Linked DNA regions of Drosophila melanogaster. The protein of the gene in region 1 interacts with the protein of each later gene in a biochemical or structural test. Each region holds a gene or a part of one and is shown on either strand. Other genes may lie near its edges. The genes, in order: Act79B and kel.

Evidence for each region.
Region 2: the proteins of Act79B (region 1) and kel form a complex in vitro, tested with the Drosophila melanogaster proteins (one study listed by BioGRID).

The regions. Positions count from the first base shown.
Region 1 is NT_037436.4:21,983,540-21,987,995, forward strand, and holds Act79B (actin 79B), read left to right. Parts: upstream 1-1,670; 5' UTR 1,671-1,709; exon of another isoform or gene 1,710-1,785; 5' UTR 1,786-1,811; coding exon 1,812-2,736; intron 2,737-3,098; coding exon 3,099-3,304; 3' UTR 3,305-3,651; downstream 3,652-4,456. UniProt on the Drosophila melanogaster protein: Actins are highly conserved proteins that are involved in various types of cell motility and are ubiquitously expressed in all eukaryotic cells.
Region 2 is NT_033779.5:18,134,836-18,139,785, reverse strand, and holds the start of kel (kelch), read left to right. Parts: upstream 1-1,702; 5' UTR 1,703-1,854; coding exon 1,855-2,309; intron 2,310-3,810; coding exon 3,811-4,212; intron 4,213-4,950. UniProt on the Drosophila melanogaster protein: Component of ring canals that regulates the flow of cytoplasm between cells. May be involved in the regulation of cytoplasm flow from nurse cells to the oocyte during oogenesis. Binds actin.

The DNA.
Region 1 (4,456 bases):
GAGTCGGAGGAACCACAAGTCCCTGCTGGCGGGCATTATTTTTACCTCTTTCAACTACTCGACGCGCGTACGACCAATGATACGTGGTTGGTGTCCGTACCTGATCCGCAAGGTGGTCACGTAATGCTCCGCAGTTGGCGAGCACTTGGCAAAGTTAACGGGCCAAAGTTGGAGCTCAGAAGTTTGCTCCTTTGGGGAATGCACTCGCTGCAGTAAAAGCAGAGTGCATGCACCTCCTCGGATGGGGCACACTTAATTAGAATATCGGGCATTAATCTTATGGCTAATGCCACGATGAGATCGAGCGATATCGGTGGACAGGCGCAAAATTGCTGTTGGCCGCATGCACCGCTGCGCCAAACCCCCCAACCACTTTCCTTTGGGCTCACAGGGCTATGTGCCGTGCATAGCCGTACAAAATTATTTGATTCTATTTTTTCAATTTGATTTCAATGAAATCCACACGACAGCGTCAACATTTATAAGATGTATAAACGCAAGTGCTTTGGCTGCATTTTTGAGTGTGACAACATTCGGGCCACACCATCTATGGACTGAGTGGGGGCCCAGAAGAGCATTGGCACCAATTTCTCTTACTCGAGCAGGGAAAAGCTGCCTACAAGACCAAGATAAAGAACTTGGGGGAAAGGCTGGCCACTACATTGCATTGTTCACGGGTTGTTCTTGTTGCTGCGCCGCCGTTTTGCGGGGGTTTATTTATATAAAAACTTAAAAATATATCTACAGATGCCTATACAAGTCCTGGCGCATATTTCGATATGTTCTCTCCTCTGTTCTTTGTCGAAGTCATAGCAAAGTTGGCAGCCAGACATAATTTAGCGAAAACGAAATGAAACTAAGTGATAAATGGTATTTGGGAATGGAGCAAATTGAATACTCTGAACGAACGCAAAATCCCGATAATGCTCTGACTAATACGACTTAGGGCCTGATGGAAATAAATTATTCTATCAAAAAACGGAGAGCCTATTGTCAGAGCTTAAATCGAAGCTCGTTAGATAAATCCATTTGTTAGCTTTGGCTTAACACATTCTGTCATTTGATGCTTAAATTAAAAGTAATTGGAATACCCAATTTTGCTATTTGTCAAAAAAATATATCTATTGTGTATATTTGGGACTATTGCCATTCTAAAACAATATATAAAATAAATATAAATATTTATATTATGTATGTATATTTATGACTATTGCCATTCTAAAACAATATATAAATATCAAAACTATCTAGCCTAAGCCCAGCGTTCCAATAAATTATTTATTTTCCCAAATTTCACAAGCTTATAAGTGTGTGCGGATTAAAATTCTAACAATATAACAAGACTTACAACTTACAAAACAACTTATTTTATATTGAAATCTAGTACCAATTTAGTTGCTCTAAGTTGTGGCTTAACTAGGGTTCTTTAATTCGTAATCCAACTTGTTGCCGTAGGCGTAATACCCGAAATCAGAACACTTTTGTGAAATCGAAATGATGTGCATCCGACCACCCTCCCCGGAAACGCCTGATCCCCAGCCAGCGTTGCATATCGCGGAATTCATCAACATGTTACTAGATGAACAATTGTTCGAGATGACAGGGACATGGGCGTGGGGCCGGCGGGGCGGGACAGAACTTATTTAAATGCAGCTGCCGGAGCGCATAACGAATCACTCTGATCGCTGTCGCTGTTGGATTTACACGTCGTGAGTGTAGTCTTGTCCGCCCATCCGAAATCCGTAACCCGCATAAGGGATAACCGATCTGTCTGTATCCTTGTAGTGCCGCCCGCACCAAACTAACCAAACATGTGTGACGAAGAAGCATCAGCCCTGGTCGTAGACAACGGCTCCGGCATGTGCAAGGCCGGATTCGCCGGAGACGACGCGCCCCGCGCCGTATTCCCCTCGATCGTAGGCCGTCCCCGTCACCAGGGCGTGATGGTGGGTATGGGTCAGAAGGACTGCTACGTGGGCGACGAGGCGCAGAGCAAGCGCGGTATCCTGTCGCTGAAGTACCCCATCGAACACGGCATTATCACCAACTGGGATGACATGGAGAAGGTCTGGCACCACACCTTCTACAACGAGCTGCGTGTGGCCCCCGAGGAGCACCCCGTTCTGCTGACCGAGGCTCCCTTGAACCCCAAGGCCAACCGCGAGAAGATGACCCAGATCATGTTCGAGACGTTCAACTCCCCGGCCATGTACGTGGCCATCCAGGCCGTGCTCTCCCTGTACGCCTCCGGCCGTACCACCGGTATCGTCCTGGACTCCGGTGACGGTGTCTCCCACACCGTGCCCATCTATGAGGGCTATGCCCTGCCCCACGCCATCCTTCGTCTAGATCTGGCCGGTCGCGATCTAACCGACTACCTGATGAAGATCCTCACCGAGCGCGGCTACAGCTTCACCACCACCGCCGAGCGCGAGATTGTGCGCGACATCAAGGAGAAGCTGTGCTACGTCGCCCTGGACTTCGAGCAGGAGATGGCCACTGCCGCCGCCTCCACCTCCCTGGAGAAGTCTTACGAGCTGCCCGATGGCCAGGTAATCACCATCGGCAACGAGCGCTTCCGCACCCCGGAGGCCCTCTTCCAGCCATCGTTCCTGGGCATGGAGTCCTGCGGCATCCACGAGACCGTCTACCAGTCCATCATGAAGTGCGACGTGGACATCCGCAAGGATCTGTATGCCAACAATGTGCTGTCTGGCGGCACTACCATGTATCCAGGTGCGTAGTCTTAATTAATTAGGACCATAAAGTTCAGAGGAAATTCTTCCGAGGGAATGGGATCAAAACTATGCGGGATACTTAAAAAAAAAAACAAGTGTTACTTTATACATTCATTTGGCAGAGAGGAAATCTTTAAATAATAAAGCCTAAATATTTAGCTGAGCTTTGTAATAACAGTTAAAAAAAATCTTATGGAAAGTAGTATTACAAAAAAAAAAAAAAGAATTCACCTAATGGGTTATATCCTTTCCCTATATCTCATATTCATGCATGCTATTATTAAAATGTCATGTAATGAGTACACCAAAGCTCCTCGGTTCTGTAGCACCACTAATGGATTCTATTTCTGTCCTCTTCAGGTATCGCTGACCGTATGCAAAAGGAAATCACCGCACTTGCCCCGTCCACCATCAAGATCAAGATCATCGCCCCGCCAGAGCGCAAGTACTCCGTCTGGATCGGTGGCTCCATCCTGGCTTCGTTGTCCACCTTCCAGCAGATGTGGATCTCCAAGCAGGAGTATGACGAGTCCGGTCCCGGCATCGTCCACCGCAAGTGCTTCTAAGCATCCAAGCCACCCAAACCAGATCAACATCTCCTCGAGCGCGGCCCTGGTGTTTGTCTCCAGCGTAAGACATCCGACCAGGCGCCGGCGCCAAGGGTGAGGACGCAGTTCAGTGAAAAGTATCTTTAAATTACATTTAGTTGATGAAGAAGTTTTAACATAGATAGAGAAAACAAGAGAAAGAGACGAGAAAAGACCGGAAACGAGCGGCAACGCCTTCTTTTTTTATTATTATTGCTATTTTTATTTGATTTGACTCGGAATTTGTACTGCTTGACTCGCTTGCCAGCGCGTAAAGTGGCCAAAACAATCGGTTGTACGTACAATAAAAACCAATAACCCATGTGAATCGAACCCAAGTCGAACGTCACAGGAGCAGCAGGAATGCGTGGTGGGGAAACTTTTTTAATTAGGCCTCGACGAATGTCAATCAGGCACTTGCCGGCCAACTTTTATTCTCTAACAGCTGCCATGGCAATCCCCCAGTACGGGTATCTGTATCTGTATCTGTATCTGTATCTGTATCTGTGCATCTATCCCCCCGCATGCTCTTCTGTCACATTTTCACAAACCCAGATGGATTTTCCACACGAAGAGAGGTTGCGAGGAATGACTTCTGGAGGACTGAAGTCGGAAATACAAGGAGCAGCGACAGTCTTAACTGGAGCCCAACTGCTCACAGAACTTTTCGCCAACATAAATGTTTGTGCTCAACTTTTGGCTGCAAACTTTTGAGGTTTCGCCAAACTATGCATAAACCAGGTGCCGAAAACTGTTGCTTAATTAGTTAGGGCCAAGCTTGCTGGAGTCGCCAAAGAAAAGAGTCTAACTGGGTTTATTGGTCTAATGTCTGCTGCTAAGTCGTCAGTAACACGGAAACTCTTCTAATGACTAGGGAGCACGTGCATTCTTGATGTTTTTGGGCACCCAAAATCTTGCCCCAAAACCTTGCCAATTATGATTTTAGAGATGCAGTCCTGGGGATTCTGGCACGTGTAGATATCAATTGAACTTTTGTTCCATGGTCCTTGCACCAACGCCACTGCTCAGCGGTCCATGGGTCATTGGATCCAAGTGCGGTTCATTATCCGCCGTCCAGCCAGGGAGAGCGGAAACAGAGAAATTAGTGCGGCACGTTGGCGTACAACTAAA
Region 2 (4,950 bases), on another chromosome or scaffold:
GGACGAGGACGACGACGAGGGGGTCAACATACGGGTCTCCTACGTTCAGCACGCCGAGGTGGTGGCCCAGCTGCAGCAGGTCACCACGGCGTCGGGCCCATCGGCTCCGTCCTCATCCAGATCGTCCAATCTTCAGGAGCACCTCAGCAGGCTGCCCAACCGCATGGCAGCCGCCTTTGGTCGGATGTCGGCCAATCTGAATTGCTACCAGAAGACTGTCGCCACGCCGGAGCGTCACTCCAACTCCTCCTGAGGATCAGGACGTGGACGGAGGGGCAAACAGAACCCAGAAACCAAAACTCAAACTGAGACAATCCCAGTGCAGCGTGTGCCGCCACCATAAGTTAAAAGATCAAACGCGAAGCCACATAACAAAATCGCTAGCTCGCTACTACAAGACTGTCATGGATCAAAAACCAAATGTTCACCATATATATCTCACCTATTGGAATGCAGCTCGGACGGATTTTTGAGTTGTGGCACTCTTGAAAGCGAGCTGGTAGAATGTAGAATCGAAATCGCAGTTAGCTAATTGTACTATAAACTAAGTATTATTATCTAAAGCAACCCTCTCTCCTACACACATAAGTATTGCAAAAAGAAGGGCCAATCGAGCTTTTCGTAATCGCTGGTATTCTTGTAATATTTCATTGTATTTATTTGAAGTATGGAATCTAAATGATGTGTTACTGTTACGTGTAAATACGAGATACGAATGCAGCTTAGTTAGTGTAAAACTCTCTCATTAGCCAAATTTCCAAATGTAATTTTCGCCTATTTATGAATATACTTTATTTATTTATTCGAAGTGATTTCGTTCGCAAGCGAGTGCTTTGTTTAAAAAGAAAAAACCCGTCAGTTGTACACGTGTAGAGCATTTGTAAATACTACCGATTTTCGCATTAAGCTGTAGCTATATTAATATAATGAATTATAAATCATGTATTCCTACCTAGGTGGTTGCTGTTATTCGTAAACATTCAATAAGCAGTTGTTTCCAATACCTATTTAATGTATTTTACATATCTCACATGTTGATGAGCATGCGTATCAATATTCAAAAACAAAATCGAAAAAAGAGTCAAACAAATAAAGTTGATCAAGATATTAGAAAAAATCTCAAAGTGTGTTTTGAATCAGAAGTGTGGAATCATAATCAACCCAAATGATTGATGTATTTTAATATCTTTAACAAATGAATGTTTAACTCATTCGTTATTTTCATTATAAAGTCGTGAATTCTTTATAAAATGAGAGTAATCAACTAAAATCTATAGATTTCTATTTATTTTATTTTATATCTATAAAATATCTATAGATATTCTATCAAGATTATGCTGAACTAAACCTTTTTTACTTTCTTTTATGGAATTCGAATATGCAATCTTAATGAATTCTGTGTCGCATATTTGTAATCTTTTTGCAATTTTATTTATATATTTTTATAAGATGAATTAGGTATGCTTTTTTTAAGTTTAGGTAAATGTGGAATATTAGTTTGTATATCAATTTAAAAATCACACTTTTTGAAACGTACGTATAAATAAAAATTAAAGGGGAGAGGTCATATTTAAGATGTAATTCAAGTGAATTACAAAAATTCAAAAATTAAATGACTTTATCATTAATTTTATAGTTGGAAACAAAGCCAGCTCAGTGAGAACTGGTTGAAAATGCCTATCGGACTATCGATGAGTATTCATCGCTAGTGGTAACTTGCGACCAACCCGAGGCTGGTCACACTGCTCTGGTCGCGTCCAAAAAGTGTACAATTTTTCACCACCTCGGTTTGTTTTTTCGGACCAGGCGAGGCACCTTCGATTCGCTGCGACTTCCGTTTCCGATCCGTTTCGGATGATAGCTCTGAGTGCGCTGCTAACCAAATATACGATCGGTATTATGAGCAACCTAAGCAATGGCAACAGCAACAACAACAACCAGCAGCAGCAGCAACAACAACAGGGTCAGAACCCACAACAACCAGCACAGAATGAAGGCGGAGCGGGAGCGGAGTTCGTGGCGCCACCGCCCGGACTAGGTGCCGCAGTGGGCGTGGCAGCCATGCAGCAGCGCAACCGCCTGCTGCAGCAGCAACAGCAGCAGCACCACCACCATCAGAATCCCGCCGCCGAGGGAAGTGGCCTGGAGCGGGGCAGCTGCCTTCTGCGCTACGCCAGCCAGAACTCCCTGGACGAGAGCTCCCAGAAGCACGTCCAGCGGCCAAATGGCAAGGAGCGCGGCACTGTGGGGCAGTACAGCAATGAACAGCATACGGCGCGCTCCTTCGACGCCATGAACGAGATGAGAAAGTAAGGATGGCACGAGATCCTGTCGAAGGATCAGTTCGTACGACTATAAAATTTGGTTAAGTCCTTAAGCATCATAAAGAAGTAGCCAGGGTTTCTAAAGACCTTAAGGCAGTATATTTAGATCCACAAATAGTATTATATCCTAATTCCTACCTGTGAGAGGTTTTAAAAACCTTAGGTAGAACATTGGTTATTTTGTACCTGCCCTGGAGAATAGAACACACAGCACCCACATAGGACTTTTAATGATATGCAGAATTAGATCTATGTGATTTTATAGCCTGATTATGTAAATAAGCACACCTACAACGGTTCGAAAAATGTTTCAAATGTCATTTGTTTGCTCAACAGCAAACCAGCTGAACGTTCGTTCAGGTTCTAAAAAGGTGTCAGCTATTTCCCAGTTACTATTTCCTTGACAAAACAAGCTGATCTGAGTTTCTACCACTAAAACTTTCAGTTGTTAAATATGACGACCTACCTCAACTTAATATAAATAGAACTGTGCTAACTACACTCTATTATAAACTCATCTCCTCTGTTCCCGGACAAAGGCGCATGATTCAATCCCTGCGTGTTCGACGGGAACAGGTGGACCGACTGGCTCTCGAGCTTTGAGATTTGGGCCAAGATGCGAAAATAAAATCTCTGAAAATGTCAGATGATCGTCTCTCGCATATTTGCGCAGTTCGCTTTGTTTATCTGGCCGTTGCTAATATTTGTGTTTGCACACTACATATGTATAAACGAATATTTGCCGCCGCTTTTGTCGTGGGGCCATTCGCATTAATTATTGTCTAGTTTTTATTATGATGAGTTGCTTACGCCTTCGGGTTTCGCATTGGGCCACGACCTTGAACTTGGTTGCGGCCAAAAATGATATTCGTTTTCGAATCGCATTTCGATTCCGCTTCCGCGTCTCCGCCTTTGCTTACTTTTTGGAAAACTACTGGGCGTATGGAAAATTTATTGGTAGCTTACATAAAACGAGTTTTTTTTTTCGGACCAATCATATCGTATTCGGCGCGAAAGTGAATGTGGTATAACCCAAAAAGTAAGCCGAGCGTTGTAATGTGGATTGCTTTTTGATTGGGAATTGAATCACACAAATATTTCGTGAGGTGTATATTCTATGAGATTTTTTTTATTGGGTTATAATTATAACACCTTACGATTTTGAAGACAAAAGATCTTAGTCTTTTCGAGTAGTCATCATCATTTAATGGCGCCATAATTTGCACAGTTAATAGCATCCCCGTCTCTTTTTACAAAACAAAATATTTTCCTCTTGAAAAAATTCAAGCACTTTTGTTTACAAACATACATACCAGCCTTGAAGATATTTAGCACGCTTTTAAACTGTTTATTTGGCAATCAAAACGATCTATTGCTAGTGGATTTCAAAGTCTCAATATTGTCGATACATGACGGTTACTAACCAATTTACTGCGTACAAAAAAATGTATCAAATCTGATATATATATATTTTTACCTATAACAGACAAAAACAGCTCTGTGATGTGATATTGGTGGCCGACGATGTGGAGATCCACGCTCACCGCATGGTGCTGGCCTCCTGCAGTCCGTACTTCTATGCGATGTTCACCAGTTTCGAGGAGTCGCGGCAGGCGAGGATCACCCTCCAGAGTGTCGATGCTCGGGCCTTGGAGCTGCTCATCGACTACGTATACACTGCCACGGTGGAGGTAAACGAGGATAACGTGCAAGTCCTCTTGACCGCCGCCAACCTGCTCCAGCTCACGGATGTGCGAGATGCCTGCTGCGACTTCCTGCAAACTCAGTTGGATGCCAGTAATTGCCTCGGCATCCGGGAGTTTGCCGATATTCATGCCTGCGTGGAACTTCTCAATTACGCAGAGACCTACATCGAGCAGCATTTCAAGTAAGTGGCTAGATTGTGATGACGCAGTATGGGCAGACAAATATAAAATTGTTTTGATTTGCCTGTTTACAGATAGGAATCCATTACTGTATCTGTTCAGTGTTCACTTTTAGAGCATGTATATTGGGAAGACTCACTTTAGTTTGTTCTATATCTACGGATAGTAATTCGTATTTAAATTCCAGTGAAGTGACTATTTATTTATTATTTATTGAGGATAGAAAGCTGCCGTACAACAATATCAATTGAATCGATTAATGGGATCAGATATTTTAATAATTATAGTAACATTTAATAACATGTGTCAAGTTAAAGTTCCTTAGACTCAACAAAAAGGATTTTTAATTATATTATAAAAACGATTAAATTCCTAGGTGTGTTTGGAATGTATCAAAATTTAAATAGTTTAACAGTCACGCATTGGTGTCTTCCAGCATCTGTTTGAAGTCGCTAATTTTGGGTTTCCATAAGATCACGAATTTAATCTTATATTAATTATATTTTCGAATTCAACTACTGAATTAGTAATAACCAAAGTATCAGAATTATATAAGTTCTCATTGATTTCATCAGGCAGAAACAAAATTAGTTAATTATTAAGTTTATATAACAGTAAACAGACGCAAAACCGAAAGCAAATGTGCAATATAAACCATTGAACCGGTTGCGATTAATTAAATTTACTTAGCCCACTCCTCTCATTCCTTGCGCCCCATTACTAACTGCTTGTGTTTGGTT